Linked DNA regions of Macaca fascicularis. The protein of the gene in region 1 interacts with the protein of each later gene in a pairwise test. Links are inferred from orthologs where the notes say so. Each region holds a gene or a part of one and is shown in the gene's direction. Other genes may lie near its edges. The genes, in order: GOLGA2, GPKOW, ZMAT2, GLYCTK, RAB2B, UBE2U and ZNF488.

Region 1 (3,893 bases):
GTAACGTGATTTCTTTGTTTGCTCACAACATGACAGCTGGGTTTGGGGGGCACTCAAATGTAGAGGCCTCAGTCTCGTCTCACCCGCTCCCAGCCTGGGGAAGAAGGCTCACCCCCCAAGATTCCACCCCATCCCCACAGGGTCCCTGATAACCTGGTCCCATGGGTGGGCCGGTCCTGGGGCATTGGTGGCATTCTGGGGGCATGTCCCTTGCTGTGCCATCTCTGCCTCCCCCTAGTAAGAGCTCTGTCTTCCTCTTCCTGTAGGAAAAGAAAGAATGCCACCAAAAGCAGGGAGCCCTAAGGGAGCAGTTACAGGTGAGTGGAGGGGGTGAAGTTCCGCCCTGTCCTCTGGAGAATGTTTCTTTCCTTCTTTTTCAGCACTTGCTTGGGTTTCCTCCCAAAGGTTCACATTCAGACCATAGGGATCCTCGTATCAGAGAAAGCTGAGTTACAGACAGCCCTGGCTCACACTCAGCATGCTGCCAGGCAGAAAGAAGGTGGGAATCTGGGCACCCCATCATCCTTCAACCTGGCACTTTGACAGGCCTTTAGGGTGAGTCCTTTGGACCCCATCTCAACCTCTCTCATTCCAGGAGAGTCCGAAGATCTGGCCAGTCGCCTGCAGTATTCCCGGAGGCGTGTGGGAGAGTTGGAGCGGGCTCTCTCTGCTGTCTCCACGCAGCAGAAGAAAGCAGACAGGGTGAGTCCAACTGCCTGCCCCGAACCCTGGCAGCCTGGCTTCCCAGGTGGAGGAGTGAGCCTAAAGGTCTCTTCTGCAGGGTTGAGTGTCCTGCCCAGAAGGCAGCATGGGCCATTTGTCACTGCTTTTGTGTGTGGTTGTTAGAGGCATCCTGGGGCTGAGTCAGCTGCTGTGGGTGGGTGGGGGGGCACTGTGAGGAGTGAACACTGGACACAGAGCTCAGAGGCCAAGTGCCCGCCCTGCCCTTACCTGGCTGTGGCCTTGGCCAAGTCCTAGGTTGGGGAATGTGGTATTTGTTCTGTGAAGGTACAGAAGAGTATCTTTAGTATGTTACCATTTGTGTAGAGAGAGGGAACGTGTGTGTGTGTGTCTGTGTGTGTGTCCGTGTGTCTGTACATATGTACTGTGACAATATACATAAAACATGTCTGCAAGGATTCATAAAAAACTCAGGAGAGAGGAGCAGCATGGCTGGAAGATATTTCCCTTCTGTACCTTCAGAGTTTTGGACTATGCGAATGTATGATCCTTTCAAAAATTGAACAAAAGATTAATTTCCCTCTTCCTATCTGTGCCCCCACCCCCAGGGAACAAATGAACTTAGAGAGTCAGATATACCTGGCTATTCAAATCCCAGCTCTGTCTAAGTGATCTTAGGCAAACACTTAACCTCTAATACTACATATTTTTCATCTACAAAATAGAGGTAATAATATTGCAGTGAGCTGTCTCATGTGGTGATTATGAGGATTAAATGGGATTATTAGCATGGTGCCTGGTGAAACACTCAATAAAGGTTCAAACAGTGGTAGTAATAATGATAATAACAATAGCAATATTATCTGATCTCTCTGGGCCTCTGTTAGCCAGCTGTAAATTCGATCTTGGCCAGGTGTGGTGGCTTATAGCTGTAATCCCAGCACTTTGGGAGGCCGAGGTGGGCAGGTCAACTGAGGTCAGGGGTTTGAGACCAGCCTGACCAACATGGCAAAACCCTGTCTCTACTAAAAATACAAAAAATTAGCCAGGTGTGGTGGCAGGTGCCTGTAATCCCAGCTACTTGGGAGGCTGAGGTAGGAGAATTGCTTGAACCCGGGGGCGGAAGTTGCAGTGAGCCGAGATCACACCACTGCCCTCCAGCCTGGGTGACAGAGGGAGACTCCGTTTCTAAATAAATAAATAAATATACAAAAATTAGCCAGGTGTGGTGGTGCATGCCTGTAATCCTAGGTACTCAGGAGCCTGAGGTAGGAGAATCACATGACCCCGGGAGGCAGAGGTTGCAGTGAGCCAAGATGGCACCATTGCATTTCAGCCTGGGTGACAGAGGGAGACTCCATCTCAAATAAATACATATATACATACATACATAAATTCACTGTCTTTTCCTGTCCCTTTCACTCTTACCAAGCTCTGTATTTTTTTTTTTTTGGAGACGGAGTCTCGCTCTGTTGCCCAGGCTGGAGTGCAGTGGCCGGATCTCAGCTCGCTGCAAGCTCCGCCTCCCGGATTTAGGCCATTCTCCTGCCTCAGCCTCCCAAGTAGCTGGGACTACAGGCGCCTGCCACCACACTCGGCTAGTTTTTGATATTTTTTTGGTAGAGACGGGGTTTCACCGTGTTAGCCAGGATGGTCTCGATCTCCTGACCTCGTGATCCGCCAGTCTTGGCCTCCCAAAGTGCTGGGATTACAGGCGTGAGCCACTGCGCCCGGCCTTTTTTTTTTTTTTTTTTTGAGACGGAGTCTCACTCTGTCACCCAGGCTGGAGTGCAGTGGTGCCATCTTGGCTTACTGCAAGCTCTGTCTCCCGGGTTCACTCCATTCTCCTGCCTCAGCCTCCCAAGTAGCTGGGATTACAGGCACCCGCCACCACGCCCGGCTAACTTTTTGTATTTTTTTTTTTAAGTAGAGATGGGGTTTCACCGTGTTAGCCAGGATGGTCTCGATCTTCTGACCTCGTGATCCACCCACCTTGGCCTCCCAAAATGCTGGGATTACAGGTGTGAGCCACCGCGCCCGGCCACCCTTACCAAGTTCTTTTAAAAACAAATGAGACCAGCTGGGCACGGTGGCTCACACCTGTAATTCCAACACTTTAGAAGGTTGAGGCGGGTGGATCACTTGAGGTCAGGAGTTCAAGACCAGCCGGGCCAACATGGTGAAACCCCATCTCTACTAAAAATACAAAAATTAGGCTGGGCGTGGTAGCTCACGCCTGTTATCCCAGTACTTTGGGAGGCTGAGATGGGTGGATCACAAGGTCAGGAGATCGAGACCATCCTGGCTAACATGGTGAAACCCCGTCTCTACTAAAAATACAAAAAAATTAGCCAGGTATGGTGGCAGGCACCTGTAGTCCCAGCTACTTAGGAGGCTGAGGCAGGAGAATGGCGTGAACCTGGGAGGCAGAGCTTGCATTGAGCAGAGATGGCGCCACTGCACTCCAGCCTGGGTGACAGAGTGAGACTCCGTCTCAGAAAAACAAAAACAAAAACAAATTAGCCGGACATGGTGGCGTGTGCCTGTAGTCCCAACTACTCAGGAGGCTGAGGCAGGAGAGTCACTTGGACCTGGGAGGCGGAGGTTGTGAGCTGAGATCTCACCACTGCACTTCAGCCTGGGTGACAGAGCGAGACTCTGTCTCAAAAACAACAACAACAACAACAAAATGAGACCGTGGGCTTGGAAATGCCTTGAAAACATGTCAAGCGTGATTGAGAGTGAAGAAGTGTTACTGTGGAGTAGTTACTGTAGCTATTGTTACTGGTCGGCCAGCTGCTCCTCTGCCTGCTATATCCTGACTTAACCTTTCTGTGTTTACAGTACAACAAGGAGTTAACCAAAGAGAGAGATGCCCTCAGGCTGGAGTTATACAAGAACACGTAGGACGGGGGATGGTGGGATGGGAGGTCTGGGGGCCCTTAGCATGGGTGGTGTGCTGGGAGGTGGGGGGTACAGGTAAGCATGGTGAGGTGGTCATACAGGTTTGCATGTGTGCCCAGCAAAGCTCTAGTGCCAGCTGCGCCACTGACTCATGGTGTAGCCTTGGGTAACTCATGTCTTATCTCTGGCCTGTACATGTGACTTTTGATTCCTGGGGTTCCTTCCAGTGCCACAGTTCTGTGGTTGTGGGGCGAGGGTAGAGGGTGGATCACCAAAGCAGTCCTTTCTGTTCTTTGTTCATTCCTTTC
Region 2 (3,893 bases), on another chromosome or scaffold:
CCTCATTCCTCTAATTTTTCCCTCTATAAACCTCCTCCTGCAGCTTTATACATATCAGGTGACCAAAAATTCCATCCATCCTTCCTCTCACTCAGCATAAAAACCTTGGAGTCGGCCGAGCCTGTAATCCCAACACTTTGGGAGGCTGAGGTGGGCGGATCACCTGAGATCAGGAGTTCAAGACCAGCCTGACCAACATGGCGAAACCCCATCGCTAGTAAAAATACAAAAATTAGCTGGGCATGGTGGAACATGTCTGTAATCACAGCTACTCAGGAGGCTGAGGCAGGAGAATCGCTTGAAACCAGGAGACTGATGTAGCAGTGAGCTGAGATTGTGCAACTGCACTCCAGCCTGGGCAACAGAGCAAGACTTCATCTCAAGGAAAAAAAAAAAAAAAAAAAGAAAACCTTGGAGTCATCCTCAATTCCCCTCTTTATTTCATGCCCCATACACTCTGCCAGCACAATCCTTCATCTTTTTTCAAAATGACACCCAGAACTGACCACTTCTCACCGCCACCAGTATCTCTCATCTGGACTATTAGAGTAATTTCCTCACTGGTCCCTCTTATGGCTCCCACCTGGCTCAGGGTCCTCTGACTCCTGCCCAGCTCTCCTGATTTGATCTCTTCCCCACCCTTCTCTGCTCTCTACTCTCACTATCTCCATTTCAGTCATGGTGACTTTTACCCCTCACACATACCAAGCCTTGTCCAGCCTCAGGGCCTTTGCTGTAACTGTGCTTTCAGCTCGGGACACTTTCTTCTCATATCCTCATGGCTCCCTCTGCTATCATTTCCTGATCTCTGCTTAAATGTCAACCCAGAGGCACTCCCTCTCCATCCCTCTGCATCTTCTTACCCTGCTTTCTTGTTCTTTACGTCACCACCTGACATATCATGTTTTCTGGGTTTTATTTATAGTATGTCTCCACAACTAGATCAGAAGCTCTGCAAGGGTAGGGGTTTTTGTCTGTTTGGTTCACAGCTTCATCCCCAGTACCTAGAACAGTACTTGCCATAGACTAGGTGCTTTCTATTTGTTGAAGGACTGAACATGGAGGAGTACAGTGAGGGATGGAAAGAGGAAATCAAAACACCCTTGAGCTGATTGGAAAAGATGCGTAGCAGGTCTCCCAGTGGGTGGCAGCAAGTGCACTTCAAACAGAGGACCCAGTGTAAGCAAAGCCTGACCCTCCTTCCTCTACCTGAACCTGTAGGTGCCAGAGGAGGCTAATTATGAGGCGGTCCCCGTGGAGGCCTATGGGCTGGCCATGCTGCGGGGCATGGGCTGGAAACCTGGCGAGGGCATCGGCCGCACCTTCAATCAGTGAGTTCTGGGATAGGGGCGAGGGGACAGACAGATCAGGCTGCAATCAAGATCCCCAGGGTCACTGCCAAACCAGAACCACTCCAGGCAGGGAGGGAGGATACATTATCGCCCTAACTAATTCAGTAGCCCCTTCCACTACTGTTTTAAACTCCCATTTGCCCTTTGAAACTCTAATAGAATCCCATTTATATAAAGTCTGCCTCTAGGGACATCAATTTCTTCATCTGAAAAATGGGGGTAATAGTACTGACTTCACAGGTCTGTTGTGAGAGTTAAATGAAATTATACACATAGGCCAGGTAGTGGCTCATGCCTGTAATCCCAGCATTTTGGGAGACTGAGGCAGGAGGATCACTTAACCCCAGGAGTTTGAGACTGGCCTGGGCAACATAGGGAGGCCCCATCTCTACAAAAGATTAATTCATTTTAAGAAAAGAAATTAGGCCGGGCGCGGTGGATCAAGCCTGTAATCCCAGCACTTTGGGAGGCCGACAAGGGCGGATCACGAGGTCAGGAGATTGAGACCATCCTGGCTAACAGGGTGAAACCCCGTCTCTACTAAAAAATACAAAAAACTAGCCGGGCAAGGTGGCGGGCGCCTGTAGTCCCAGCTACTCCGGAGGCTGAGGCAGGAGAATGGCGTAAACCCGGGAGGCGGAGCTTGCAGTGAGCTGAGATCCGGCCACTGCTCTCCAGCCTGGGCTACAGAGCGAGACTCCATCTCAAAAAAAAAAAAAAAGAAATTAGAGCCAGGCGCAGTGCCTCGTGCCTGTAATCCCAGCACTTTGGGAGGCTGAGGCGGGTGGATCACAAGGTCTGGAGATCAAGACCATCCTGGCTAACACGGTGAAAGCCCATCTCTACTAAAAAAAAAATACAAAAAATTAGCCGGGCATGGTGGCGGGCGCCTGTAGTCCCAGCTACTCAGGAGGCTGAGGCAGGAGAATGGCGTGAACCCAGGAGGTGGAGCTTGTAGTGAACCGAAATCGCACCACTGCACTCCAGCCTGGGCGACAGAGTGACACGCCATCTCAAAAAAAAAAAAACAAAAAAGATAAAGAAACTATATACGTAAAGCACATACAGTAGGCCCTGACCCCAAGAAAGCGTAGACTAAACATTTGCTATTGTCATGCAGACTTACAACCCTTTCTTCGCAATTGCAAACTCAAGAATTGTGAAAACCAAACATTTTTTTCATAACCCATTGGCAGCCAACTATGACCTGAATTGGCGTTGAGTTTTTTTTTTTTTTTTTTTTTTGAGATGGAGTCTCTGTCTGTCACCCAGGCTGGGATGCAGTGGTGCAGTCTCAGCTCGCTGCAACCTCTACCTCCTGAGTTCAAGTGATTCTCCTGCCTCAGCCTCCTGAGTAGCTGAGATTACAGGAATGCACCAGCACGCCTGGTTAATTTTTGTATGTTTAGAAGAGATGAGGTTTCCCCATGTTGGCCAGGCTGGTCTTGAACTCCTGACCTTAGGTGATCTGCCAACCTCAGTCTCCCAAAGTGCTGGGATTACAGGCATGAGCCACCGTGCCCAACCATGTTGAGTTTTTATAGTCCGTTTCTCCTGCTTGGTGTGAATATTCATATGATTTCCCCTGTAGAAATAGTATATTTGGTTACAGTGATCTGCCTCTGATCTCACTGTAGATATTATGTAATAGATGGTATATGCAGCATGTTATTAGGTCGAACCAAATGAAATTGCTGTTTCTGTAGGTCAAAAACAGTCCTAATATGAGATCGGAAAGGGCAACCTTGAAAATATCGATGGGGGCCAGACACGGTGACTCACACCTGTAATCCTAGCACTATGGGAGGCCAAAGAGGGCGGATCAGCTGAGGTCAGGAGTTCGAGACCAGCCTGACCAACATGGTGAAACCCTGTCTCTACTAAAAATACAAAATTAGCCAGGCATGGTGGCATGCTCCTGTAACCCCAGCAACTTGGGAGGCTGAGGCAGGAGAGTCGCTTGAACCCAGGAGGCGGAGGTTGCATTGAGCTGAGATTGAGCCATTGTACTCCACCCTGGATGGCAAGAGCAAAACTCCGTCTCCAAAAAAAAAAAAGAAAAGAAAAGAAAATGTCAATGGTGGGGGTGGGGGTTTGGGCAGGGAGAGGAGGTAAATAAGGTGTTGAAGACTATTGCATCCTCTCCAACAAACCCATGTTCTCCCTGCAGAGTAGTGAAGCCCCGTGTCAACTCACTGAGGCCCAAGGGGTTAGGGCTGGGTGCCAACCTGTCTGAGGCCCAGGCCTTGACCCCCACCGGCCCCTCCCACATGCCAAGGCCAGATGAGGAGCAAGAGAAGGATAAGGAAGATCAGCCTCAAGGGCTGGTGCCAGGAGGAGCTGTGGTGGTTCTTTCTGGCCCTCACCGAGGCCTCTATGGGAAGGTAAGGAACCAAGATATCCCGGGAGCCCAAAACAGGCAGTAGGGAAGGTTGATCCGAGGGTCAGATGGAGGAATAATTGGGTTTGAGGTAGAAAGGCTGGGAGTCCTAGTCTTTTAGGTCTGCTTGGCCCACTGCCTCACTCAGTAACCCGGGACCA
Region 3 (2,668 bases), on another chromosome or scaffold:
GTCCATTCCTGTCTGTATTAGTTATCTATTGTTACGTAAATTAACAAATTAACCCACAGCTTAGCAGCATAAACTACACCACTCACAGTTTCTTTGGGTAAGGAATGTGGGAGTGGCTTACCTAGGTGGTTCTGGCTCAGGGTCTCTTCATGAAGCTGCAATCAAGGAGTTGGCAAGGTAGGTCTGCATTCATTTGAATCTTAAGTGGGGCTGGAGGATCTGCTTCCAAGCTCTCTCACATGCCTGTTGTTTGGAAGCCTAAGTTCTTTGCCCCATAGACCTTTCTATAAGACTGCTCACAATAGAGCAACTGGCTTCCCCGGAGCAAGTAACCCAAACAAAGACAGAAGGCATGGTTTTTAAAATAACCTAATTTTGGAAGATATTACTTTTGACATATTCTGTTGGCCACACAGACCAACTCTAGTACAAATTGGGAAGAGACTACACAGAGTAGGAATACCAAGAGGGTGGGGCTCATCCTGAGGCTGTCTTTGAGGATGACTGCTATACTCTCTCGAGAGCCAAGGCTTTATAGAAATGAAGGCTTAACACTTCTAAAAAGAAGTTTACCTAAAAATTTGTGTTTCTTGGTTGAAAATGATAAGATCCTTAAAACCATATTTGACTCAAGTGCTGTTTCTTCCTGTTAGATATTACTGCAATGTCTGTGACTGTGTGGTGAAGGACTCCATCAACTTTCTGGATCACATTAATGGAAAGAAACGTAAGGCTTGGAGGTAGCTTGTGACTAGGGCTGGAATTGGGTTTTGGAGGTGGGGTGGAATGGAAGGGTAGGTTTTTTTTTTTTTCTTCCTCTTCTTTTTACTGATCAAAAGAAGGCTGGAGTAAGAAAGGTAGTTTCTATTGGGCTCTTTTTTGATGCCCCTATTAGAACTCTCCAGTTGTTTCAGCACAGGCCATCTTTTACTTCATTATGTAATATTTCTGGAGGCAATGGGTAAGAGGCCTTATTCTGGAGGCCATGAGACTTTTAACAGCACCCAAACCATGTGCTGCTCCTGGGCCCAGCTGACCAAGGGAGTTTCTTTTAACCGTAATTATTTGTGCTGTGTGTTTTATGAGATGTCATATGAGAAGATGTCAGAGAAGTCAGGAAAATACTTTTTGAGGGGCTGAGGATGTTTTAATGAGCTTGCCTTCTTCACTGTTGACCCCATCCAGATCAGAGAAACCTGGGCATGTCTATGCGTGTGGAACGTTCCACCCTGGATCAGGTGAAGAAACGTTTTGAGGTCAACAAGAAGAAGATGGAAGAGAAACAGAAGGATTATGATTTTGAGGAAAGGATGAAGGAGCTCAGAGAAGAGGTAAGCCTCTCCTAGTCTTCCCCTCTGCCCCAGATTTGAGTTTTATGTTATGAATCATGGGAGACCCTGTCCTCATCCCACTCCTACTCCCAGCCCCAGAGTTGTATCTCCTGAGTTCTGTATATTAGCGGAAACATTTGTTGCCTTTGTTTAGGATTCTCATGATCTGAAGGAAATGGCTCTGAAACGACTTTTTTGTCCTGGACTCTGTGGGCCTTATTATTTATTTATTTTGGCGATACAGATATTTCTCAACTTCTGACAGGGTTACCTACCGATAAACCCATCATCAAGTTAAAAATATCTTAAGTCAAAAATGTGTAATACACCTAACCTACCATAGTTTAGTCTAGCCTACCTTAATGTGCTCAGAACACATTAGCCTACAATTGACCCAGATTATCTAACACAAAACCTATTCTATAATAAAGTATTCATCTCATTAATTTATTGAATACTGTACTGAATGTGAAAAACAATGGTTATATGGATACTTGAAGTACAGTTTCAAATGCATGTCAGTTTTGCACCATTGTAAAACTGAAAAATCTTGTCAGAGCATCGTAAGTTGAGGACTCTCATCTGTATTCTTTGATTTAATTTTTTAAAAAGACTTAACTTTTTTTTTGGCCGGGTGCGGTGGCTCAAGCCTGTAATCCCAGCACTTTGGGAGGCCGAGACGGGTGGATCACGAGGTCAGGAGATCGAGACCATCCTGGCTAACACGGTGAAACCCCGTCTCTACTAAGAAATACAAAAAAAAAAAACTAGCCGGGCGAGGTGGCGGGCGCCTGTGGTCCCAGCTACTCGGGAGGCTGAGGCCGGAGAATGGCGTGAACCCGGGAGGTGGAGCTTGCAGTGAGCTGAGATCTGGCCACTGCACTCTAGCCTGGGCTACAGAGCGAGACTCCGTCTCAAAAAAAAAAAAAAAAAAAAAAAAAAAAAGACTTAACTTTCTTTAGAGCAGTTTGGGTTTGCAACAAAATCGAGAGGGAGGTATAAAGATTTCCCATATACCCACTGTCCCCCACAACATGCATAGCTTCCTCCATACTTTTTTTTTTTAACTACAAGAGGAATTAACTAAATGTACCTAGTCCTAAGGAGGCCCATGAAATCAGGCTGACTGGGTCAGAATTCTGTTTCTTCCACTTACTGGCTGTGAATCTTGGGCAAGTTATATAACCTCTTTGTGCCTCAGTATCCCCATATTAGAGATCTTAGTATAATATGCATGAAGTACTCAGAGCAATTTCTGGCATGTACTGCATGCCCCAGAATGTCAGTTGCTATTATATGGTTTTGCTGTCATAACCCTGTCAGGAACTAGAAATGAC
Region 4 (4,670 bases), on another chromosome or scaffold:
TCCCAAAGTACTGAGATTGCAGGGATGAGCCACTGCGCCTGGCCCAAAAACACATTTCTAATGTCAACCTAAAAATCATCAAAAGGTTCGAGATCCAGTTAAAAGAATTTATTCAAGCATAAAGTGTGAGGGCAGCCATCAGGGAAACACAGACACCAAGCAGTGGCAATTAGTGTTCCCCAGCGTGGGGAAAGGTGAAGATTGTTTATATTGGCCGGGCGCCTGTAATTGTTTATACACCTGTAATCCTAGCACTTTGGGAGGCCAAGGTGGGTGGATCACAAGGTCAGGAGTTCGAGACCAGCCTGGCCAACATGGTGAAACCCCATCTCTACTGAAAATACAAAAATTAGCTGGGCGTGGTGGTGGGTGCCTGTAGTCCCAGCTATTTGGGAGGCTGAGGCAGGAGAATCGCTTGAATCTGGGAGACGGAGGTTGCAGTGAGCCGAGATTGTGCCCAGGCTGGAGTATAGTGACAGTGAGCCAAGATTGTGCCATTGCACTCCAGCCTGGGTGACAGAGCAAGACACCACCTCAAAAATAGGAGAAAGAAATGTGTTTTTGTTGGTTGGTTGGTTTTTTTTGAGACATGGGACCAGGCTGGAGTGCAGTGGCATGATCAAGGTTCACTGTAGCCTCTACCTGCCATGCTCAGGAGATCCTCCCACCTCAGCCTCCTGAGTAGCTGGGACTACAAGAGCATGCCACCACACCCGGCTCTTTTTTTTTTTTTTTGGAGAGATAAGAGTTTTGCCATGTTCTCAGGCTGGTCTCGGATTTCTAGGCTCAAGCGATCCGCCCACCTTGGCCCCCCCAAGTGTTGGTATTACAGGCGTGAAACACTGGGCCCTGCCAAGAAACATGTTTCAATAAAATCGTTAGGAAATCAAGTATGTGATTTGTGATGCAACTCTCTCCTCTATCTCCATAAGAAAACATCAGTAAAAACAGTGAACTGTTTTGTGTTCTTGGAGTCTGATGAGGACTCATCTTATGAATGTGGGAAGGCATCCAGCCAGCTCAGGGTGGGCCCAGCATGAGAGCAGGGACAGTGAGGAAGGTCCAGAGTCATTCGCTTTTACATGCAGCTTATGTGCTTGAGGATAGCGGAATGGAACTCTTGCTAGGTCAGAGCTGTATTTGGTGGCCCATGGTGGGAGAGGGGAGAACACTAATAAGTTGTGGAATAAAAACCATGGAGAGGAGCGAGAATTACTTAATCTGGCTCCAGAAGGGGTTAGTTGTGGGTAAGTAGTGATTCTCAGTTCGTTTGCTCAGCCCAGTCCTCAGGGTGTATCTGCTGACTGATCGTACAAGATAAAGGAAGGGAGAGGCCAGGCGCGGCGGCTCAAGTGTGTAATCCCATCACTTTGGGAGGCTGAGGTGGGTGGATCGATTGAGGTTAGGCGTTCGAGACCAGAGAGGCCAACATGGCGAAAGCTGGTCTCTACTAAAAAATACAAAAATTAGCCCGGCGTGGTGGCACATGCCTGTAATCCCAGCTATTCAGGAGGCTGAGGCATGAGAATCGCTTGAATCCGGGAGGCGGAGGTTGCACTGGGCCGAGACCGCGCCTCTGCACTCCAGTCTGGGCGACAGAGTGAGACCCCCGTCTCGAAAAAAAAATCTGCAATCAGTGAGGCGGGGATTATTACCCTCAATGTAGAGATTAAGAAAATGAGGACTTAAGGTGACTCCTTCCAGGTCTGTTGGTGGCCAGCAAGGAGTCAATATCCTAAACTCTCCCTTCCAGACCCCAGCTTCAGCTAGAGCTCGCAGCCGCCAGCGCCGATCCACCCACCCACACTTCCGGATTCCGCTCCGCCCACCCGCGAGTACTTCCGGTCTCCAGTGCTGGGCGCCGTGGCCCGGAGCTGTGGGCTGGTAAGTCTGCGCCTGCAGGGCGCGCATGACCTTCAGAAGCAATCCCTGGGCTGGGCGACGAAGGGTCTTGGTGGCAGCAGGCCCTTCTTTCTCGTATCACCGGGCATTACGCGGCAGCGGTTTGCCTCGCGAAGGCCCTACCTGAGGATGACGTCACTTCCAGCCCCCTGCTGACTGCGGAAAACCGGAAATGGTGCCAGCCCCCTTTAATAGCGGGGAGGAGTCAAGGCCGGTAGTCTTCCTGTTTCCGTGTTTTGCTTTGGATCCCTCCGGAGTTTCGGAGAGACCATGTCTTGTATAGAATTGGAGGACTTAGCAAATAAAAATGCAGAGAGTCCAGTTAATTTTTTTTTTTTGAGACAGAGTCTCACTCTGTCACCCAGGCTGGAATGCAGTGGCGCGATCTCGGCTCACTGCAACCTCCGCCTCCCCGGTTCAAATGATTCGCGTGCCTCAGTCTCCTGAGTAGCTGGATTACAGGCGCCCACCACACCTGGCTAATTTTTGTATTTTTAGTAGAGACGGGGTTTTACCATGCTGGTCAGGCTGGTCTGTAATTCCACACCTTAGGTGATGCGCCCGCCTCAGCCTTCCAGAGTGCTGGGATTACAGGCCTGAGCCACTGCGCCCGGCCGTGTCCAGTTAAATTTGAGTTAAGATAAACGATGAATAATTGTTAAGTCCTAAACATTGTATGCACATATTTATACTTTAAAAATTACTTGTTTTTCTGAAATTCAAATTTAACAGGACGTCCTGTATTTTCTCTGGCAGCCTTGGCATTGAGCGTCCCCCGTCCTCTGCTCATACCCAGTGGCAAGACTGGGATCTTCTAGGCTCTTGTCCATCTGGGAAATAAATACAGATTTCACCCAGGCTATAAAGACCGGCTGTCTTAGTTGCTAAGATGCTTTTAGCTCCAAGCCTAATGGGCAAGCTCCAGGGGTCCCCCTGGCCATAACTGGACCCATTTTCGGAATCCCCATGACGATGCCCTCTGTGTTCCGTTTCACAACAGAAGTCAAGCATGGCTGTCTTCTCTTACGGGAGAGCTGAGACTAGGCAGACAAAATGGTCAGAGTCTAGAAGTAACCACCACATTTGGGTGTGGGATAAACCGGTATTTGAGATCTGTGTTGCAGTGGACAGTATCAGAGAGCCTGAGGGTGTTAAGGGGAGAGTGTAGTGTTAATCTCACCTTGTGTCTCATTTTGTGGATGAGGCCCAGTGAGAGAAATGGATGTGTCCCAGCCACTCAGAAAACCTGTAGTAGATACAGCTGGAAGCTCAATTCCCAGCCTCCTTACCCCGCTCAGTCCATACTTGCTGATGAAGTCAGCTTGCAGCATTTATGGTAGGCATTTATTAAAGTAGATGCAATAGTACATATGTAGTACAGATGAGCTCTTTGGGTCTTTGTTGTTCTTATACACCTCTACAGCTTCCTGACCTTCACCCCAAGGCTTCTTTAGCTTTTACTCTGCCCAGTGGGGAAAATGGCTATCTGGGCTCAGTTATGGGAGCCTGGCCTTTGCCTACTTCAGCTCTTGGGCTCTCACCACTGTGGGTGGTGTGATCTAGGACTTGTTTTTGTTATCTTGGAACTAGAAGGGGTGTTCTTGGCAGGGTTGGGTCTGGCCAGCTATGTGGGTAGAAGGGCATCCTTTTCTGTCCTGCAATTGGGCTTCACGGCACATGGCCTCACATGGTGCCTGGGGACTTTCCTAAGGTTCCACCATGAGCCAGACTTTGCCCTCACTCCTGATTTGAAACTAAACCTCTTGCTGAACTGGCCTGAATAGTGGGATTCCTCAGATTGCTTGCCCTGAGGATATGCTCTGGGCTTGACCTGATAAACCTGCAGCCTCCTATAGACCCTGACTTCCCAGCCTCCTAATCCCAGTCTTATGAGATAAAGTAGAGTAGGCTGGAGGTCAGTGGGCTCGGGGTCAGTTGGTGGGACAATCAACAGACTCCTGGCAGCAGAGGTAGTAAAGAGGCAAGGAAGGAGTGCCAGAAAGGGGCGTTGCCCCTGGGTAAGAGCTCAGAAGTGCAGGGGGTGGAAAAGGGGTGGGATGGGAGCCCACTGGTAGAAATTACTCCCTCTGTCAATGATTAACTCACAGCCAAAGGGATGACCTAGGAGGAGGGCCCAGCTAATAGGAACTTTGGACTTAAGGCAGAGTATCCAGAGGGCCGGCATGTGGTCTGCAGAAGAGGAGGACATGGCTGGGTGGCAGGGCTGGTATCCAAGGATGAGTGAGATCCTGCAGCTGTGGGCTTCAGGAAGTCTCCTGGGGCTATCAGATGGCTCCTTCTTGTAGCAGCAGCTGTGGGGTCCACTGGCCGTGGGGGACCTCCTGTCTTTTGCCTTGCAAGGGCCTCAGTTGTGCTTTTTCCCTCTAGGCAGCCATGGGTGCCAGGCAGTGCTGAGAGCAGTGGGGCATGGCTGCAGCCCTGCAGGTCCTGCCCCGCTTGGCCCGAGCCCCCTTGCATCCACTCCTCTGGCGGGGCTCAGTGGCCCGGCTGGCCAGCAGCATGGCCTTGGCAGAGCAGGCCTGGCAGCTGTTTGAGAGTGCTGTGGGTGCAGTGCTGCCGGGCCCCATGCTGCACCGGGCACTATCCTTGGACCCTAGTGGCAGACAGCTGAAGGTGCGGGACCGGAGCTTTCAGCTGAAGCAAAACGTCTACCTGGTGGGCTTTGGCAAGGCTGTGATGGGCATGGCAGCTGCCGCTGAGGAACTACTGGGCCAGCATCTTGTGCAGGGCGTGATCAGCATTCCCAA
Region 5 (3,893 bases), on another chromosome or scaffold:
TTAGTAGAGACGGGATTTCACCATGTTGGCCAGGCTGATTTCGAACTCCTGACCTCGTGATCCACCTGTCTTGGCATCCCAAAGAGCTGGGATTACAGGCATGAGCCACTGTGCCTGACTGAGGTTTTTTTTTTTTTTTTTTTTTTATCATCTATACTTTGCTCTCCTTGATCTCATTGGAAAAACAAGCAATAGAGCATTAAGTTTTGTGTAACTATGGGGGCTTGCCTAACCCTTGATAAGCCTTTTTCTCTGTAATAGAGTGAGTTATTATCTTCAACTATGCAGCAGCTGTCCCAAAACTAAAGAATATTTTCCAAGAGGCTACAGAAATCAGTAACTCTATATAAGAGAGTATCTTGTAGGATCTATGTTCTTTATTAAATAACTGGCCATTGAAACCACGATGGAATTCTTTTAGAAATAGAGTTTCCTCTTTCACTTGGATCTTTTTTTAGTTTTCTCCTTAATTAATCTCTTGCAGTGACCTAGAGTCCCGCAGGGATGTGAAAAGAGAAGAAGGAGAGGCCTTTGCTAGGGAGCATGGACTTATATTCATGGAAACTTCAGCCAAAACAGCCTGCAATGTTGAAGAGGTACTATTTGGAAAACAGTGGGGAAAACTCTTTAGAGATTACACCATTATTTGTCCTTTTATTCAGAATTCTCTTCTCCTATAAGAAATGGGTAAAGAAAGGATGTCTTGGCCGGGCGCAGTGGCTCACACCTGTAATCCTAGCGTTTTTGGAGGCCAAGGCAGGCGGATTGTCTGAGATCAGCAGTTTGTGACCAGCCTGGGCAATATGGTGAAACCCCATCTCTACTAAAATACAAAAAATTAGCCGGTCATGGCAGCATGTGTCTGTAGTCCCAGTTACTCGGGAGGCTGAGGCAGGAGAATTGCTTGAACCCAGGAGGCGGAGGTTGTAGTGAACCGAGATCCTGCCACTGCATTCCAGCCTGGGCAACAGAGCAAGACTCCATCTCCAAAAAAAAAAAAGGGAAAGGATGTCTTGTGGTCATAGTGACTACTTCTCTCATTCCTTTTAAAAGAATTGTCCCATTTTCTTTTACCCTGATTCCCAAGGTTTTACTTTTGCTTTGGGTAATATTAGTTGGCAAGTGTGAATTAGACACCACACTTGTTACTAGTAAATCACTCTGGTTGGAGTGTCTAATGGATTCTACTGTAGTCATTCCTAAGCCTAGTGTTGATGGTATCTTCAGTAAGTAGTGGAGAATAGAGTGTGTTTGTTTTATTTGTAGAAGATGCCAGCCTAGGAACATTTTGGGTCAGTACCAGAATACCACATAATCCTTTTTTTTTTTTTTAACTACTCTTAATGGCTTTTACAAGGACATTTGGGGGACCTTCTGTGTTTTGTTTTGTTTTGTTGAGACTGAGTCTCGTTCTGTCGCCCAGGCTGGAGTGCAGTGGCACGATCTCAGCTCACTGCAACCTGGGCTCCCAGGTTTAAGCGATTTTCATGCCTCAGCTGCCCGAGTAACTGGAATTACAGGCATGCATCACCACGCCTGGCTGATTTTTGTATTTTTAGTAGAGACGGGGTTTTACCATGTTGGGCAGGCTGGTCTTGAACTCCTGACCTCAAGTGACCTGCTCGCCTCGGCCTCCCAAAGTGCTGGGATTACAGGCATGAGCCACTGCGCCCAGCCGACCATCTATGTTTTTTTACTGTTTTCTAATTCACCTTAGAAATTCAAATATGTATAATAATTAATATTCTCTTTCCCTCATTTCTCTACTTGAACTTGAGACTGATGATATGATTTATGTCTCTTTCAGGCCTTCATTAACACAGCCAAAGAAATATATAGGAAGATCCAACAGGGTTTATTTGATGTCCACAATGAGGTAAGAAAGGGTAGAAGTGCTGGCAGTTAACTTTGGTTTGTTCTGAATAGAACTGGAGGTTCCCTAGAATGGAATGCTTACATTCCCCATCTATCATTATATAATTTAAAAGCTCTGCCAATTCAACTTTTTTTTTTTTTTTAAATCTAGGTACACAGAGACCTGTCATCATTTTCTGTTTTCCTCAAGTCTGACACCCAGAATGCTTAAAGAGATTATTGGTGATCTAAAAGACTTATACAATATGGGAGATTTTCTTGTCAACCTCAGTTTTTTACTATTCTAGAACATAAGGGAGGTATAATTCATAGTGGCTTAGGAGAGTAATTTCTATAAAGCAAATTCTGGAACAAAACAAAAAGAATCATATGCTACTTCTGCTCTTTGCCTCCTCCACTCTTACCTAATCACAACCTAATTCTGCACATAGCTATGACATTTAAGTATAATATGGTCCCCTAAAAATGAGCACAGGGGCCACGTGTGGTGGCTCATGCTTATAATCCCAGCACTTTGAGAGGCTGAGCTGGGGAGATTGCTTGATGCCAGGACTTCAAGACCCACCTGGGCAACAAAGAGAGACCCCGTCTCTAAAATGAGCACGGGGTGCAGTGGTGCACCCGTAGTCTGAGTGACTTGGGAGGCTGAGGCAGGATCACTTGAGGCCAGAAGTTTGAGGCTGTAGTGCACGCTGGTCATACCTGTGAATAGCCACTGCACTACAGCCTGGGCAATGTAGGGAGACCTCATTTCCTCAAGGAAAAAAAAAGTACACAAAAGCCACTTGTAGTCAACTAGAATATTTAGACCATAGGTAGTCATCTTATTCTTACTGTCATAGATTATTGTTGCACATCAGTCTGGCTAGGGCACCTGGTTACCTGCCAAGGTCAAATCTGCTTTTAGAAAATATAATTAATGATTCCTCCTTTCTCCCCTTTCTTTTTTCTTTCTACCTGGGATACAAGCAGAGATAGCCCCCTCCTCTCTCTAATTCACTTTAACACTGAGGTGGGAACTATTGCCTCTTTTCTTTTACAGGCAAATGGCATCAAGATTGGGCCCCAACAGTCAATTTCAACATCAGTGGGACCCAGTGCCTCCCAGCGGAACTCTCGTGACGTAGGGTCCAACTCTGGCTGCTGCTGAACATCTGGCTTGAACTTTTTTTTTCCTTCCTGGAATAGCTTCAGATCAACAGGCTTAATGAAAGAGGTCTTTCTTGCTTTGGCTGAGAGCAGCCTCTTTTTAAAGTGTGATGTTTTGCCCTTCCACCTAAAGACCAGGAGAGAATTTGGGCCCTTACTGACCTGTCCTCCTTCAAGGACATGAGCATTCCGTATAGATTAGGGTTCTTCTTATCCTCCTATACTAATTTCTTAAATCGTTAGGATCAAAGTTGATTATCACAGTAGTTAAAAATAATAATTTCACGGTGGGGCGCCGTGGCTTATGCCTATAATCCCAGCACTTTGGAAGGCCAACTCTGGGGGATCACCTGAGGTCAAGAATTCGAGACCATCCTGACCAACATGGAGAAACCCCGTCTCAACTAAAAATACAAAATTAGCTGGGTGTGGTGGTGCATACCTGTAATCCCAGGTCTCGGGAGGCCAAGGCAGGAGAATCACTTGAACCCAGGAGGCGGAGGTTGCGCTAAGCTGAAATTGTGCCATTGCACTCCAGCCTGGGCAACAAGAGCGAAACTCTGTCTCGATAAATAAATATATATATATTTGTTTGAGACGGAGTCTTGCTCTGTCTCCAGGCTGGAATGCACTGGCACAATCTTGGCTCACTGCAGCCTCCACGTCCCGGGTTCAAGCAATTCTTCTGCCTCAACCTCCTGAGTAGCTGGGACTACAGGTGCGTGCCACCACGCCCAGCTCATTTTTGTATTTTTAGTATAGGCGGGGTTTCACCATGTTGGCCAGGATGGTCTTGATCTCTTCACCTCATGATCTGCCCACCTTGGCCTCCCAAAGTGCTGGATTACAGGCGTAAGCCACTGTGCCTG
Region 6 (3,893 bases), on another chromosome or scaffold:
CTGAGCACCGCACCTGGCACAGTGGAAGTGCGGGAGAATCCACTCTGATCACGCCTAACCCTGTCAAGTCCTCTCATACCTTTGTGCTTATATGATGCATGCTGTTTCTTCTAACATGTTCTGACCTCCCTTCTCTGTCTAACAAACTGCTCCTCCTGTTTCAAAGCCCGAGTCTGTTTTCACTTAGACATAGTGATTCCCTCCCTGTGCTCCCAAAGCAGCTTTTCCCTTGCACATCAACCGGCCGTTAGCAGGGATCCAGTAAATATATATGTTAAATGAATGAACTAACAAAGCATCAAAAGATCGAGCAAGATGGAAAGAATCATTTATGACAAATAAAGTTACTTATAAAACATGAAGTTTAGAAAGTGTAAAAAAGGTTGCTCGCATTCATTCAGATGGTCTTTGGCATTATCCTACACATGCAGGAACACTCTTTTCATTGTTTTTCCTGTATGTCTATTAAATTTCTGTTTTTTATAGTTCCCACCACAGATGAAATTTTTCTTGAGTCACCAACTGCAATAAATAGCGTCACAAACATTTACGAAACAGAAGAGGAGGGGTGGAAGAGTGACACTTCATTATATGAAAATAACACAGATGAGCCCTGGGAAGAGGAAGTGGAAGATCTAATCTCCTGGATCAACACTCTCAATACAAATACTTTAGAAGATTAAGCAGAACATTATCAGGTTAAAAAACTGAACAGCCTCCACCATAGCCCAGTGTTGTGGAGCAATTTTGGAAGACTCTCAGAACTTGGATTTCATTTTTTTCAGGCTGTTCTCACCCGCTCACTGCAAGTACAAGCAAGTACAAATTAGAGATATAAGTACAAATCAGTAAAGATGTTGCTTTGACTTTCTTTAGAACTAAGTTACCGAAGTTAGGGATGTTCATTGCCATATGCCAATCAATGGTGTGACACTCCCACAGTTTTTAGGCTACTGGACACAAGTTTTTGCAGGCAGAGAATGGGTCAGAAAGAGGCTGGGATAGGAGGGGAGCAATTAAGAGCTTCAGAGGCTGGACATGACCTCAAATAGCAGGATCTATACATGGACCTACATCTGCCTGCTTTCTTGTCTTGTTTCCTCCATATTCAAGGAATGAGATGTCACTATTTACTAATGTTTCTCTTCTGTTTTATCCCAGAGTACATGGGAACATATCTGTCACCCCAAAAGTTTCCCCTGCTTCATGGTAATACGTCTCTCCTGCTCCTATTTCCTGCCCTTACTTTTCATAAGATCAGTCAGTATCACTGATCTGCTTTCTGTCACTGCAGATTAGTGTGCAATTTCTAGTTTTATATAAACTAGACCTTCTATCTCCTTGTATTCTTATAACTTTATTTTCTCTGTCTCTTTTTGCCATGTTGTCTCAACCTATACGTATGCTTGGGTCTCTCCTATTCTAAAATATGTCTCTGCCTTTGACCCCTATCTCTGCTTACCTCACCATTATTCACTCATTTTTCTCAATCAGATTTATTGATGGTGGTCTATCATTCTCTCTTTATTTCTTTCATTCATTTCACATTTGCATCCACTGCACAATGAAATCTATCTTCCATTCATTCTACTTCACTAAAATTTGCTGGGATCACCGTGATTTTCTTACTGCCAAAACTCATGTTTGATATTATTGATCATCTTCTTATTTTGAAGTGTTTATTGCCGTGGCTTCAGAGAGACCTATTTTGAGGCCTACATACCTACACACATATGTCTTCTCAAAAATGCCATACCGATCTATATGTCTGACCTTGGATGTAGTTATCAAATAGGTCTCTCCCTCATTTTTAGGGAAACTGATTTTAGTTCCCATGAAAAAAAGAAAGCTCTACTACATGTATCTGGTCTCTTTGCACTCTCCTGGCTGGCTAAATATTTCCAAGTCTCCCTCTGGTAGTTCAGACAGTAGGGCCCCAACTGATTGTAGTACCTACACTTTTGCTATCCCCCTGTGACCAGAACCACAACATTCTGAGTCTCTCTTAGACCTCTTTTATAAGAGCACAGATTCCATTTATGAGGGCTTCACTCTCATGACAAAATAATTTCCCAAAGGCCATACCTCCAAATACCATTCCCTTGGGGGTTAGGGTGTCAATATGTGAATTTTGGGAGGGGACACAAACATTCAGACTACAACATTGTGTCTAATATTACTGAACTCCTTGTACTTCCCCACACATAACAGCATTTTCCTGCTTCCCTGCCTTTGCTTATGCCATTTCCTCTACCGAGAATTCCTTTTCCCCTCTTCAGTTGGCTAACGCCTATTCAGCCCCTAAAACTCTGCTCAGGCATCACCTCCAGAGTTTTCTCTGCACTCCACATACCCTACTCCAGGCTGGGTCTCTCTCTGGCTCTCTGGCTCTCACTCTGTGGGCACCATATAGTATGTGTATGTGTCTGCTGTTCAATTTTATTGAAATTGTCTGTTTGCACATTTGCCTCTCCCATTAAACCTTCAAAGAAGAAGCCAACCAACCAGACTCCATCCTAACGATACTCAATAATATAGACTACATTCCAACAGCTGCCACGATGTCTCAAACAAAAGCTCCTGTTTCACTGTGTTAGAGTTTACTGTTAAAAAATAAACTTGGAAATTTTAGCAAATGAGTGAATTCAAAAGTAACAAAAAAGGAACTTTTAATAACAAGTAGGAATACCTTGAGAGAGTTGATTCTGGAAGAAGGCACTAGGTTTTTAAAAACAGCTTTATTGAGGTATGATTGACATAGAAGAAGTTGAGCAATTTAAAGTGTACAGTGTAAGTTTTTATATATGATGCCTTCATGTAATCCTACTACTATCAACATTGGGAACATATCTGTCACCCCAAAAGTTTCCCCCTGCTTCATGGTAATATGTCTCTCCTGCTCCTATTTCCTGCCGTTACTTTTCATAAGATCAGTCAGTATCACTGATCTGCTTTCTGTCACTGCAGATTAGTGTGCAATTTCTAGTTTTATATAAATGAAATTATGCAGGCTGGGCGCAGTGGCTTGTGCCTGTAATCCCAGCACTTTGGGAGGCCAAGACGGGCAGATTACGAGGTCAGGAGTTCGAGACCAGCCTGGCTAACATGGTGAAACCCCGTCTCTACTAAAAATACAAAAATTAGCCGGGTGTGGTGGCTATTGTCTGTAATCCCAGCTATTCAGGAGGCTGAGGCAGGAGAATCGCTTGAATCCGGGAGGCAAAGGTTGCAGTGAGCCAAGACTGTGCCATTGCAGTCTAGCCTGGTGACAGAGTGAGATTCCATCTCAAAAAAGAAAGAAAGAAAGAAAGAAAGAAAGAAAGAAAGAAAGAAAGAAAGAAAGAGAGAGAGAAAGAAAGAAAGAAGGAAGGAAGGAAGGAGAAAGAAAGAGAGAGAGAGAAAGAAGGAAGGAAGGAAGGAGAAAGAAAGAAAGAAAGAAAAAGAAAGAAAGAAAGAAAAGCAGGAAAGCAAGAAAGCAAGCTGTGTGGCTGATTTCACTCAGCACAATTATGTTGAGATTTCTTTGTCTTTTGTATATCCATATTCATTTTTATTGCTGAGTAGTGTTCTACTGTATGGATATACCACAATTTGTTTATACATTCACCTGTTGGTGGACATTTGTGTTGTTTTCAGTGTGAGACTATTACAAATATAAAAGTTGCTGTGGCAAATCCATCCTAAGATGACCTACAACGAGTCAAACCCTTACACAATCCTTGAGTGTAAATAGAACCTGTGTCTTCTAGTCAATAGAATATAGCAAAGTGATGTGATGACGCTGCTGTCATTACATTATGTCGTATTAAGACTCCATCTTAAGCAAACTAGAGAGGGATTCTCCTGCTAGCTTTGAAGAAGTAAGCTGTCATGTGGGAAGGCCACCTAACAGG
Region 7 (4,672 bases), on another chromosome or scaffold:
TTTCCCCACCCAAATCTCATCTTGAATTGTAGTCCTAATTGTAATACTCATATGTAGGGGGAGGGACTTAGTGGGAGGTGATCAAATCATGAGGGTGGTTGCCCTGTGCTGTTCTCATGATAGTATAAGTGAGTTCTCAGGCAATCGAATGAGTTTGTGAGGGGCTTTTACCCCCTTCACTCTGCACTTCACTCATTCTTCTCCTTCTTGCCACTCTGTGAAGAAGGACCTGTTTTGCTTCCCTTTCCACCACAATTGTAAGTTTCTCGAGGCCTCCCCAGCCATGCTGAACTGTGAATCAATTAAACCTCTTTCCTTTATAAATTACCCAGTCTCAGGCAGTTCTTTATAGCAGTGTGAGAATGGATTAATACAGTCTAAAATATATCTTTCTTTATATGTTAAAAATTACAAGTGATGAAAAGCATTGAGTTGGTTGGTTGTCAGTTTTTCCCCCCTCTTTTGGAGTTGTATTTAGTATAATAGAATATCTTAAATTAGTGTTGTTTTATAATCAATGAAATTGGGTGTACTTCTATGCTGTACTAATATGGGTGTTACTATATGCTGGGGGCATATTAGGGTTCTCTTGCTTCATGCCTTCCGTGACACTTGTTATTGTTATATTTTAACACTTATACCTAATGATTAAACATCTCCTTGTGGTTTTAATTTGCATTTTCTAATTACTCTAGAGACTTCCTTCGTTCACATGATTTTGGTCGCTAATGGTTCCTCCGAAGTGCCTATTCATGTCTGTATCCATTCTTTGCTTTGGGTGTTCCTCTCCTTCATTAAAAGTACATATCCTGGATACTAATCTTTTATCAATTGCTGCAAGTATCTTCTTTCAGTGTGTGGCTTGCTTTTTCACTCCGTTTGTTGTTTTTTTAATCAAAGTATAAGTTCTTAATTTTAACGCACTTGAACTGTCATTTTCCACCACGGCCCGAGTCGCGGAGCCCGCCTTCCTGGCAGAGCGCTGCGTGGTCACAGCTGGGGTCTGGGGAGCAGAGGCTGCGGGCGCTCCCGGGGGTTGGCGGGGAGAGCTGGGCGATTTCGGCGGGGGGAGGTGCCGCTCGAGGGGCCGCCAGGCTGCGCGGGGAAGGAGGGCCTGGAGGCCGCGGGGGTCCTCGGCGCAGACTGGAGCCGCAGGCGCCGCGCGCAGCCCCCGTCCGCCTCGCCGAGGCCCCGCGGGCCCAGGAGCGCGAGGTCTGGCGCCCAGGACCAGAGGGGGTCGGCGGGAGCAGGCGCCGCCTCCAAAGGACGCCCTCGCCCTCCTGCAGGCGCTGGCTCCAGACCCTGACCAGCCAGCTGGGAGCTGAGCCGGGTTAGGGCCGGGCAGCCCAGAGGATCAGAAGGGGGTTTTCTCGCGGGGTTGGGGGTTCTTTGGCCAGCAGCGCCCTCCCCCGCCGGGGTCGCCCACCCACAAGCCCCGCCCCGAAGGCTGGAGCTTCCCTGGGGATGGGCGAAGCCGAGGCCACGCCCTGAAGGCGGGAGCGGGTTTGGGGCGGGACCTGGCCACCCTCAGGGCTCCAGCGCCAAGTTCAGAGCCACGCGCTGTGCTCTTGGCCGGGAGGAGGCTGTGCTGCCCCAGCACCTTTTGCTCCACATCTCCAGAGAGCCCAGGTGAGGCGCGCCCTCCTGTCTGCAGGGACAGAGCCGCGAGCGGGCGCGGGCGGCCGGGTCCATCTCACTTCCACTGCCTTTCCCCAGGACAGGGTTGTTGAGTCCTGCCTTTGACTGTGGGGTCCTTTCCTTCCCAATGTCGCCAGCTTCCTCTAGCTCTCTCATGTCGTCTCCGACTCTCATCCCCGTTTCTGTTCCCTTTCTCCTCTCTCACTTTTTCTCCTCTATCTCTTCTTTATTGTCTTCCTGTTTTCATTTCCTTCCGTGTCAGTCTCTCTCCCTCTCCCTCTTTTCCTCTCTTTCTTTATCCTTCTCCCTCACCTTCCCCCTCTCCCCGCTGTTTTTTCAGCACCCAAGAATTCTGCCTATGATTTTTTTTTTCCTCCTAGGGTGACTTTCAGGCTGCAGTTGTTTTCGTCCCTCCCTCTGCCCCTCCCGGGGTTTATCGTGTATTGCTCTGTTATTCTCAGCCCAGGCTTGCGCTGGGCAGTAGGGTAAGAACCATGCATCAGCCCCAGATCCCTTCTCCAACAGATTATATCCAAAGATCTGGACGTGTAACCTGTTCACTGTCTTTCCTGGGAAACAAAACAATGCTAAATGATCACATTATACTGAGTTTTTAGAATGAGCTGAAAGAACATACCTGGTTTTAGAGGCAAGGGGTTGATTGAATCCTTTCCTTGACATTTTGCCTTTACTAATAGACACAGACAGCACAGCAGGAAGCTAAGCCGTGCAGAAGCATTTAAGGGAAGTTCCCACCCACACCTGCCTTCTGGGCAGGTTATGCAATGCCAGGTGCAGGGGAGGGAGGGGACAGGATTCAGAGCAGGGTTGTGGGAAGACAGTGGGAGGCCAGAGCTTTGCACCTGAAACATCTGAGGGCCCCTGGAAATAAGAAATTAACAGTAAATTTCTAAAATATGTAGTTGCCAATGCCACTGATGTACAGAAATGAACTTACTTAATTACTCCTGAGGGAGACGTTAGGCATTTTATGGCAGTAATTATGGCATTTGAAATTAATGATTTTATGTACATTAAATAGGAGGGCCAAGGGGAAAATATTTCCTGTTAGTGTCAAAGATTGTCATAGATGTATAAAGGACGAACTCTAGAAAATCAAGCCTCATTCATTTTTGAGGGATAAAATAGAACTATATCGAGGCAATTTTTTGTTTCTTGGTTAAAATGTAATCTTATCAGAGATATGTGATTTAATTTTTAATGATATTTATGACACATAATATTTATATGTTCAAACACACACAAATACATAATATATATGCACTAAGTTATAAAAGAGCCTTTGTTTGTTTGTAAAGATCTTAATTACCAATAAAGCTTGAAGCTTTTGCTTCTTGGAAATAATTTAACATGATATTGTAGTTTATTATGACCTTTAATGAAAATTCAACTCATTTACTTTTGATTGATACAGAAATGGAAATTTGGCCATAGATAAATTACACAGAATTAAACAGAAATTAAGTATGATGAAGGTACATTGCAGTGTGTTCAGTGAAAGAATTTGCATGTGCTAGATATTTTGGACAAATTCATAGGTATGTGCGTGGAACTGTGATTTGTGAGGCTCTTTTCTGGTTTAAAAAGTTAAATTGCCTTTTATATCTAATCCCTGATCCCCAATATGTGAGGATTCTCGGGGGAGGGGTAAAAGACTTTGCAAATGATTTAGAATCATCATGTCTGCTTTGCTTGGCAGATTTCTTTTCGGGTATCCAAGAAGTGGCAACTTTTGTTTGAAACATGTAATCACACCAATTTTTTTTTTAAAAAAGGATGAATTTCAATATTTTTAAACTGATCGTTCCTCATTAGTGGTCAGTGTCTCTGTAAGAACATCATTGTCTTTTTATCCTTAGATGATGCTATTGTTGGAACCTGGGAATGTCAAAAGGAGTAGCTGAGGTAAAATCATGGACTTTTTCCAGAAGGCTGCCAGTGGAATTGGGACCACCGTCTCAGGCTCCACCTTTATTCTCTAGTTGTATTAGGAAAAGAGCTGCTGTTCCTTGTGCTCTTGCTGCCTGGCATGTACAGAGCCCTGTTGAGTCCCGTCCGTGAGTGCCTGAAGTGAAGATCACTGTTCTTGTTTTACTTATGAAGAGATGGAGACCCAGAGTATTTGTCTGAGGTCAGGCAGGTAGTAGCAGGGCTGATTTGGAACACAAGTTGTGCCCTGGAGCCTGAGTGACCAGGGCTAATTCAGTCCCGTTATGTGACTTCCATGTTGCTGCAGCCCTAGCACATGTAACATCTAAAATATCACTCCACACAGCACCAGCCATTGCCTATTGGCATTGTTTGGCAGAACACTGCTCCCTGTTCTGTGTCCTGGCCATCCTCAGTCATATCCATGGTAGACTCTCCATCTGCACAGCAGGGCCCCATTGAAGCACTGGATTTGCCCTCTGCTTTCACTGGCCCTGCTTCTGCACAGTCTCAGGTATCTGAGTGGGTGATGAGATTGCATCCACCCCTATGAGGGTCCACATGGCCAAGTTATGTTGCACTAGGGCCACTCTCCCTGCTTCCATGGGTACTGGCTGTGTCCGCAGTCTCCTGCACTTAGCTTTCCTGGAATGCAGCAGGCATTGCTGCTAGAGGGGTCCAGGCATAGCTGGCCACAGAGCTTGTAGGGGCTGACCAGGAATTGCTCATCTCCCCAGTGCCACCAGTCAGCCTCTGGGAAAGCCTGGATCACCTTCCGTGTTTAATTTCTTCAGTGCGCCAGAGCCAGGAGAATTCCTGGAAACAGGTGTATTCCCTTTCTTAGGAAACCCCAGGACCTCACAATCCAAATGCAGAAAAGACCCATAGATGATTGTCCTCTGGAATCTTCCAAAAGGGTCTGGAGCTTCTCCAGAGACTAGGGACACCGAAGGATGGAAGACAGGAGGCATTTTCTGCTGTTGTGTGTTTTAGCTGAAGAGAAAGGCAGATGCAGCAAAGCACTGCATGGGGGAGTTGGGGGTACATGGTGTCTCTGAACAAGATCTGGTGCCTGACCTGCAGC

The links.
Region 2: the proteins of GOLGA2 (region 1) and GPKOW interact in binary tests that used the Homo sapiens proteins (3 or more experiments, as listed by UniProt). The two-hybrid records come from large-scale screens. The link is inferred for Macaca fascicularis from reciprocal best matches to the Homo sapiens genes GOLGA2 and GPKOW.
Region 3: the proteins of GOLGA2 (region 1) and ZMAT2 interact in binary tests that used the Homo sapiens proteins (3 or more experiments, as listed by UniProt). The two-hybrid records come from large-scale screens. The link is inferred for Macaca fascicularis from reciprocal best matches to the Homo sapiens genes GOLGA2 and ZMAT2.
Region 4: the proteins of GOLGA2 (region 1) and GLYCTK interact in binary tests that used the Homo sapiens proteins (3 or more experiments, as listed by UniProt). The two-hybrid records come from large-scale screens. The link is inferred for Macaca fascicularis from reciprocal best matches to the Homo sapiens genes GOLGA2 and GLYCTK.
Region 5: the proteins of GOLGA2 (region 1) and RAB2B interact in binary tests that used the Homo sapiens proteins (3 or more experiments, as listed by UniProt). The two-hybrid records come from large-scale screens. The link is inferred for Macaca fascicularis from reciprocal best matches to the Homo sapiens genes GOLGA2 and RAB2B.
Region 6: the proteins of GOLGA2 (region 1) and UBE2U interact in binary tests that used the Homo sapiens proteins (3 or more experiments, as listed by UniProt). The two-hybrid records come from large-scale screens. The link is inferred for Macaca fascicularis from reciprocal best matches to the Homo sapiens genes GOLGA2 and UBE2U.
Region 7: the proteins of GOLGA2 (region 1) and ZNF488 interact in binary tests that used the Homo sapiens proteins (3 or more experiments, as listed by UniProt). The two-hybrid records come from large-scale screens. The link is inferred for Macaca fascicularis from reciprocal best matches to the Homo sapiens genes GOLGA2 and ZNF488.

What each region holds. Positions count from the first base shown.
Region 1 is NC_088389.1:15,716,193-15,720,085, forward strand, and holds part of GOLGA2 (golgin subfamily A member 2), read left to right. Parts: intron 1-266; coding exon 267-317; intron 318-405; coding exon 406-499; intron 500-595; coding exon 596-702; intron 703-3,525; coding exon 3,526-3,584; intron 3,585-3,893. UniProt on the Homo sapiens protein: Peripheral membrane component of the cis-Golgi stack that acts as a membrane skeleton that maintains the structure of the Golgi apparatus, and as a vesicle thether that facilitates vesicle fusion to the Golgi membrane.
Region 2 is NC_088395.1:49,282,129-49,286,021, reverse strand, and holds part of GPKOW (G-patch domain and KOW motifs-containing protein), read left to right. Parts: intron 1-1,221; coding exon 1,222-1,331; intron 1,332-3,522; coding exon 3,523-3,736; intron 3,737-3,893. UniProt on the Homo sapiens protein: RNA-binding protein involved in pre-mRNA splicing. As a component of the minor spliceosome, involved in the splicing of U12-type introns in pre-mRNAs.
Region 3 is NC_088380.1:147,179,246-147,181,913, forward strand, and holds part of ZMAT2 (zinc finger matrin-type protein 2), read left to right. Parts: intron 1-653; coding exon 654-727; intron 728-1,185; coding exon 1,186-1,331; intron 1,332-2,668. UniProt on the Homo sapiens protein: Involved in pre-mRNA splicing as a component of the spliceosome.
Region 4 is NC_088376.1:115,369,938-115,374,607, forward strand, and holds the start of GLYCTK (glycerate kinase), read left to right. Parts: upstream 1-1,833; 5' UTR 1,834-1,884; exon of another isoform or gene 1,885-2,060; intron 2,061-4,074; exon of another isoform or gene 4,075-4,290; 5' UTR 4,291-4,329; coding exon 4,330-4,670.
Region 5 is NC_088381.1:89,136,006-89,139,898, reverse strand, and holds part of RAB2B (ras-related protein Rab-2B), read left to right. Parts: intron 1-484; coding exon 485-596; intron 597-1,807; coding exon 1,808-1,876; intron 1,877-2,917; coding exon 2,918-3,025; 3' UTR 3,026-3,893. UniProt on the Homo sapiens protein: The small GTPases Rab are key regulators of intracellular membrane trafficking, from the formation of transport vesicles to their fusion with membranes. Rabs cycle between active GTP-bound and inactive GDP-bound states.
Region 6 is NC_088375.1:170,415,679-170,419,571, reverse strand, and holds the end of UBE2U (ubiquitin-conjugating enzyme E2 U), read left to right. Parts: intron 1-486; coding exon 487-683; 3' UTR 684-3,459; downstream 3,460-3,893. UniProt on the Homo sapiens protein: Catalyzes the covalent attachment of ubiquitin to other proteins.
Region 7 is NC_088383.1:56,854,468-56,859,139, forward strand, and holds the start of ZNF488 (zinc finger protein 488), read left to right. Parts: upstream 1-1,531; 5' UTR 1,532-1,629; intron 1,630-4,672. UniProt on the Homo sapiens protein: Transcriptional repressor. Plays a role in oligodendrocyte differentiation, together with OLIG2. Mediates Notch signaling-activated formation of oligodendrocyte precursors.